Canis lupus familiaris: one gene and its partner. The protein of the gene in region 1 purifies or fractionates together with the protein of each later gene. This does not show direct contact. Links are inferred from orthologs where the notes say so. Each region holds a gene or a part of one and is shown in the gene's direction. Other genes may lie near its edges.

Region 1 (3,819 bases):
CCTGGGTGTGCTCTTCTTTTCTGCCCCTCCTGGTACTACCCAGATCCTTGAGAACTACCTGGAGTTCTGCCTCCTTGAGAGTCCTTCTCAGACAAATCTGTCTTGTACTGATTCCTGTCTCCCCTGATTTTTTGGGCCATTCATTTGATGGTCGTGCATAGTCTTGGAGCATTTCTTGTTTTTATTCATTGAATTATTCATTTGATTGTTTATAGTTTTAAAATACATAAAATATAAAATTTATGATTGTAACCATGTGAAGTGTACAGCTCCATGGCATAAGTGCATTCACATTGTGCAGCTATCACCACCCTCCATCTCCAGAGCTCTTCATCTCCCCAGATTGAAGCTCTGTCCCCATTAACCACAAACTTCCCATCTTTCCTCCTCCTGGCCCCTGGCTCCCACCATCTGCGTTGTGTCTATATGTGACTATTCGAGGGGAAGCTCAGCTAAGTGGAACCAGGCAGTCTTTGTTCTTTTGTGACCGGCTTGTTTCACTTGGTCAATGTTCTCAGTGTTCATCCATGTTGTAAGAAGTGTCTTCCTCCATAAGACTGAGTAATACCTCACTGTGTGGATGGACCACATATTGTTTTTCTGTTCATCTGTTGATAGGCACTTGGGTTGCTTCTGTCTTTTGGCTGTTATGAGTGATGCTGCTAGGAACCTGGCATGTAGGCATCTTTTGGATATACACCCAGAAGTGGGATTGCAGAGTCATAGGGTAGTTCTAGTTTTAGTTTTTTTCGAGATCCGTGCACACTGCTTTCCCTGATAGCTGCACCGGTTTGCATCCCACCAGCAACATGTTGGGTTCCAGTTTTCCCCATGTCCTCGCCCAAGGCTTGTCATTTTCTGGCCTTTTTTTTTTTTTTTTTTTTAGTAGCCATCCTACTGGGAGTGAGGTTGTAGATCATTGTGATTTTGACTTGCATTCCCTAATGATGAGTGATGGAGGAACATCTCTTCCTGTGTTTACTGGCCATTTGTATGTTGTCTTTGGAGAAATGTTTGTTCAAGCCCTTCACTCGGTTTTTAATCAGGTTTGGGAATTTTTTGTTGTTGTTGAGTTATCCATTGAATTGTCTATAAAATCTCTCTCTATTGCTTACTGCCTATAAGTGTCTTGTCTTCTCAGTTCTAAATTCCCCGAGGGTGAGAAATTGTCCATAGTCCCTCTGTAGCTGCCCAGTCTCTGCACTTCCTTCCAAGTCCTGCTCAGGCACAGATATGTCTGTGCCATTTCTGCTTTGGGCATTCCCAGGGCTCTTGCCTGTGGCTGAGTGCTTCCCCTTGTGTAGATGGTGGTTCGTGCTGTCCTTTCCCAGCAGCCTCTCCTGAGTGCTGGTGCCCCCCCCACACACACATGCATTGGACTTCTCCCCGCCACAGTCTCCGTGACCCTACAGTGTAGCTGCCTCTGACCACTCTGGATCTGTTCCAGCATGGTCTAAGGCCAGGCTTTCGTGGGACAGAGATAGGTATCTCTGTCCCCAGCACCTGGCATAGTTGCTGCTCTGGACCTATTTTTTGAACACACTAACGAGTGACTATAGTGGTTCCTTGATCATAAGACAAACGATCATAAGAAAGTGTCCATTTCTTTGTTGTAGCCTTGCCGGATCAAAGGTGACATAGGACAGTCTACCGATGATGATTCTGTTCCTCTTGTCCATTGTGTCCGCCTCCTGTGTGCGTCATTTTTGCTGACTGGGGAGAAAAATGGTATGTATAGCAGAGCAAGTACAGAGCTGAGGGAAGTGCCTAGGTCTCAAGGTCAACTTGGTGACTGGTGCCTCATCACCGCAGCAGAGGGAGGGAGTAGAGTCTGGGGTGAGCGGTGGTCCTTTTCACTGATGGGAGAAGGAGGGAGTGATGAGGGAGCTGGGTTCCTGGGTCTTGTTTTGTTTATGTGGAAACTAGATGTCTGTCACTTTGAAGGTCACTTTGCTGCCTTCCTTGCAGTTTTGGTTCCAGACAGGGACGTGCGGGTCAGTGTGAAGGCACTGGCACTCAGCTGTGTTGGAGCTGCTGTGGCCCTTCATCCTGAATCTTTCTTCAGCAAACTTTATAAAGTACCTCTTGACACCATGGAATACCCTGGTATGTTACAAGTTCACAGTCTATTCCTCATGTTTAACCATTGCTTTGAAAACTATTTCAGATCATCTTGGCTATTTTAGTTTAGAGTAATATTTTTTGAGTTAATTTGTGGCATTTTTGAACTGTGTTGTAGCTGTATATAAAGCACATAAATCGTAATGTTTTTTGTTTTTTGGACTCCCTGTAGATGCAATGTTTAGTTTAAACACACATGATGAAACAATAGAAATGTGGGAACATAAGAGCCAGTTTACATACATACTGGATTTATACCAAAAGCACAAATTGTGTATAATCAAAATTGCTTTGGGTCACACTCAGCCAGGCCAGATGTTCACACTCAGAGACAAGTGCGACCCGAGACCAGCAGAGCACCAGCAGATCCAGGCTCCTGTAGCACACGTTCTGGGACATTCTCTCATGTTGGAGTAAATGGGGGAGGAACCCCACTTCTAAAATTACCCTCCCGAGTTCTCCCCCTTTCTTTGGGCGAGGGGACACACTTGTGCTTTTGAATTCATATTAGGTAAGTGTGGACTAGTTTGAGTTTCTCTAATCTTTTTTTTTTTTTTTTTAAGTGAAATCTTGGAATTTTGATTATTGGCTGGCAGCCTGGAATTATAATCCAGAACATCTATTGTGTTGAAGTGATGTCAAGGCTATGATGAATCTAGAATCTTTAAACCCCATGATATTTTTTTACCAAATCTATATTCTAGATTTGGAATCCTCCCTCACCTTTGTTTTTTTTTTTTTTCCTTTCCTGAGAATTAAACTTTTCTTCTGAGTTAGAAAATGGATGGTAGGGGCTTGTACAGTGGCTGGGCAATTTATCTCTACAGAGGAGCAGTATGTGTCAGACATCCTGAACTACATCGACCATGGAGACCCCCAAGTCAGAGGAGCCACAGCCGTTCTCTGCGGAACCCTCATCTCCTCTATCCTCAGCAGATCCCGCTTCCAGGTGGGAGATTGGATGGGCACCGTCAGGACCCTGACAGGTAATGGCAGAACTTGCAGTGTATTTCCTAGGTAGAACTCTGTAGTTCAAGTTTGCATAAAGGCGCTGTTTGCTCTTCTGGTTAGGAAGTACATTTTCTCTGGCGGACTGTGTTCCTTTGCTGCAGAAAACTTTGAAGGATGAATCTTCTGTTACTTGCAAGTTGGCTTGTACAGCTGTGAGGGTAAGTATAATCTTTTGTGAAAATCAATTCTTTGATTAGTGGAAATTTTACCTTTGTTACCATTAAAATTGGGTTTAATGCTAAATATTCGTAGACCTTCTAAAGCTGTGAACAACAGTAAACAGTTGGATGTGTCCACGACTCTGTTGCAGAAAGCATTACCAAGAAAGGTTTATTTAATAGAGTGTAGCATAAGTTTTAATACTCAGGGTATTTGTTTGAAATGCTCCTTTCCTAAAGGATCTTGCTTTACACCTTGCTAACATGAAGCATAAAACCTGTTGAATTAGACACCACTGGTGCTCCCAGGCCCATAGAGTGCTGAGTTAATGAGAGCTGTGAGGTTATTTAGTGACCTCTGTGTGAGGTCTGTGCAGCGCCTCCAGCCTTGACACAGCAGTGTGGCGAATCTTTGTAGATCAGATGTTCTGTAAATCACTACTGGCCAATCAAAAACAGTAAAGATTAACCAGTAAAAATCAAAGCAAAAACCTAATAGTTGTCAAATTAATTAGGATACCTTCCCTTT
Region 2 (3,819 bases), on another chromosome or scaffold:
AGCTGCCTTTGTGTCTTGGTGCAACCCCAGAAGGTGCCTGTACCCTAATCAAACTGTAGGAGCTATATTTTGTTTCCGACATTGGCTCCAAAGGCCATGTTTGGATCTGGCAGGATGTAACTTAAGATTATCTTTTTTAATTAAACGAGTTTTCAGAAATCAGTAGTTATAAAGAAATCAAACATAGGTCTGTACATAGGAGCCGTTGGTTCCCCATTATCCTAGGCAGGTGTCTTCTGAGTTTTAGTAATTTTTCTCTTAACATCATGAGGATATGATAAACAAGGCACATTCCTTCCTAATTGTATGTGCTTTGGCTTTGCCTGTCTTGTTTTCAGACCTGGAGACTTTTCGTCTCATGACAGAATGGCAAACTCAGGTTAGCACTTCCTGTAGCTCACCTCTGCCCAGTCCTTCCCAGACCTGCTGGCATTGCCCCAGTTACCATTGAAGTCTTTTATCCCCCCCTTAAAAGATTTATTTACTTATTTATTTGACAGAGAGCCCACGCACGCAAGCACAAGCAGGGAGAACTGCAGAGGGAGAGGGAGAAGCAGGCTCCCTGCTGAGCGGGGAGCTCGACTGGGGGCTCCATCCCAGGACCCCAGGACCATGACCCAAGCCAAAGTCTGATGCTTAACCGACTGAGCAACCCACGTGCCCCTATCACTGAAATCTTCACATCCATTTTCGTATCAGCCTAACTTAGAAACCATCTTTCCCCCTGAAATACATTAACTTTATTCTTGGAGACTGAGGATATTAAATAAATAAATAAATAAATACCCCCAACATAACATTACTGTTTATATTTCTTCTTAGGAATTGTGCTTATTATTTATCCTTATTTTATATTTCTAATCTCTAACATTCCTTTGTAATTTTATATTCTCTTCTGCTTACTTCAGTTAAAGCTCTTATTAGGTAGGGGCACCTGGGTGGCTCAATTGGTTAAGCTTCGGACTCTTGGTTTTGGCTCAGGTCATGATTTTAGGATCATGGGATTGAGCCCTGCATCAGGCTCTGTGCTGGACATGGAGTCTGCTTATCTCCCTCCCTCCCTCTTTGCTCTTCCCTGACTCACGCATGCTCTCTTGCTTTCTCTCTTTCTCTGTCAAATGGATAAATAAAATCTAAACAAACAAACAACAACTATAAGTGAGACTTTGAAAGTTGAGAATTCTTACGGTGGTTCCTGGCCTTGTTTGCTGACTTCTCCTTCACCACCCCTGTGCCTGCACTTCACAGGCTAAAATACCTGTCCTTGTTCCGTGTCAGCCTTTTATCCCCCTTCCTACTTGGGTACTTCTAGATCTACACTTCAGCCATTTATGGTAAACTTGAATGGCCTTATTGGAAAGAATTAATTTTAAAATAGAAGATTCTGTGACTTAGAAAACTTCCAGGGGATCCCTGAGTGGCTCAACGGTTTAGCACCTGCCTTCCGCCCAGGGCATGATCCTGGAGTCCCGGGATCGAGTCCCACATCAGGCTCGCTGCATGGAGCCTGCTTCTCCCTCTGCCTGTGTCTCTGCCTCTCTATCTCTCTTTCTCTCTGTCTCTCGTAAATAAATAAATAAATAAATAAATAAATAAATAAATAAATAAATAAATAAATAAATAAATAAATAACTTCCAGAAAATAGTTTTATATCAACCTGTAGGAAGCACTGCACCTTCATCTCTGCATTCGTGGTAGGAAGCTCTTTCTGTTTCGACCTCATTGACTTCCTCTGGGACTCCTGTTTTAAATTTTCTCTTCTTCAGTTCTCTCAGATAGGGGTGTCTATTAGATTAGTGTTGAGAAATGTTCATAAGAAACTGGGTATTTGGTGAATAGCAGAATTAAACATCATTTCTGTTTTATTAACAGAGATATGTAATTCTGGTTTTTCCACAGCTTTCCCAGGCAGCCGCCAGCATCGATAACCGGGTCCCCACTCCTTCCTCGGTGGCCAGCGCCGAAACCAACTCCCAACAGACAGGACCCGAGGTACCAATGCTGGAAGTGAAGGCAGAGGTCAAGACCGAGGACACTGAGCCGGATGCCAGTGAAGCCAAGGGGGAGCCTGGGTCCACGGTAGGTGCCCTTCCTGGGGCGTGAACAGGTGTGCACCATACTGAAGCGTCCTGAGGCGAGACACCGCATGTTCTCCATGGACGACACTGCTTTTTGTTTTAATGTCCTGTTTGATGATGGATTCAGAGAGGATAAATGTTAAAAATAGATTAGTTATTTTTAGGTATTAGGTACGGGTTTTACTATATTTTGCCAGAAATGAAGAGGACACTGGTTTATATTCTAAATGATTGAATCATCCAGTGACTGCACTGTCATTCTTCATTCATAGGTAGTTCTGTAGAGTTAGACTGCACAAGGGTGTGCTCATTCATTAATTAACCTGTGGCAAAAGCTAAAGACTGGCAAGCCATGGGCTGGATCCACCCCCATCCACATGTTTTGTTTGGCCCACACAATATTTTTTAAAATGAGGAATTACAAATAAAACTCTGGGTTTCTGGCTTTTCTTTGAAAATGAGAAGCTCTGTCAGCCTTGTGCTTACATTCCTATGTCAGCAGTCTGGGTGGGAGCCTCAGCCCTGGCTTTTAGATGGGGCTTGGGCTCCAATTTGCCGGAGTCTCCACTCCCCACTCTGGCTCACACACCTCCTGCTGCATCATGTACTTCACCTGCCTGGCCCTCTGAGCAGTTTGGTTTTTGAAACTTGCCCCAACTTTCAAGAAGATTCTTGTTCCAAACTAGAAATGCCTACATGTAAAACTACTGGGCAGGTGATGGGGTGTGTATATGCAATGTCTTATAAGCACTCTAGCATATAAAATTTTTAAATTGGGACTATAATTGCAGTGGTGCTGTCCTAAGGCAACTCACCTGACACCAGATGTTCCAATCCTTCCTGGGGGAGAGGAAGGGATGGTAAATGCAACTCTTGAGTAGGGTACAGCTTGATAAGCCCAGATAGATTGTTAAGAGACTTCCAGTGAGGCTGAGTTAGAATAAAGGTCTTTGCTATTCATACATTATTACCTGTAATTCTGTATTTCTCAAGATGATGGAAGAGGATCTACAAGGATCTTCTCAAGTTAAAGAAGAGACAGACACAACAGAACAGAAATCAGAACCGATGGAAGTGGACGAGAAGAAGCCGGAAGTCAAAGTAGAAGCTAAAGAGGAAGAAGAGAACAGTGCTAATGGGGCCACCTCTCAGTCAACATCTCCTTCACAGCCACGCAAAAAAAGTAGGTTGTGTTTCCTGGACTTGTTTTATCGTGCTGCTTTTCCATCGTGTTGGGATTGCACACCACAGGTTAAAAGCTAAAGCAGAAAAATAATTGTCTCCCCCCCTTATATCTTTTCTGCCTGCCATTCCCCAAGTTTTACTTCTTCAGAAATGATGACAGAGAGCTAGACTGCAGCCTGAGGGCCCATGAGGTTTATGGTGGGAATGAGAAATGAGCCGCAGCTCTGAGGGGCAGCCCAGGAGCACATCTCTCCTCTGAGCCATCATTCCCCATGGGGCCAAAGTAGAAGTTGCATCTGAGTCCTTGTGCCCGCTGAGGAGCTTGGGCTTTCTTTACTCAGTAGGGCCTGGACGACCACGGATAGATTTGAGCAGGAGGTTGACTGCCACACTAGGGAAATTATCACCGTGGCTACACGTGGGTGCACTGTTACAGATGGGAAGGTGTGCTCAGAGTAAATGGGCAGTGGAACAGGACCCAGTGCCTGGTGCAGTGGGAGGGGTGCAGATAACTGAAGATGCTTTGCGGGGTGAGGCAGCCTCGCAGGGGGACTC

The links.
Region 2: the proteins of HTT (region 1) and CREBBP purify together in Homo sapiens (affinity purification with western blotting; 5 studies listed by BioGRID and IntAct, with this or other methods). This does not show direct contact. The link is inferred for Canis lupus familiaris from reciprocal best matches to the Homo sapiens genes HTT and CREBBP.

Annotation. Positions count from the first base shown.
Region 1 is NC_049224.1:61,700,590-61,704,408, reverse strand, and holds part of HTT (huntingtin), read left to right. Parts: intron 1-1,616; coding exon 1,617-1,728; intron 1,729-1,968; coding exon 1,969-2,106; intron 2,107-2,948; coding exon 2,949-3,107; intron 3,108-3,192; coding exon 3,193-3,290; intron 3,291-3,819.
Region 2 is NC_049227.1:37,802,615-37,806,433, forward strand, and holds part of CREBBP (CREB-binding protein), read left to right. Parts: intron 1-1,900; coding exon 1,901-2,080; intron 2,081-3,072; coding exon 3,073-3,262; intron 3,263-3,819. UniProt on the Homo sapiens protein: Acetylates histones, giving a specific tag for transcriptional activation. Mediates acetylation of histone H3 at 'Lys-18' and 'Lys-27' (H3K18ac and H3K27ac, respectively).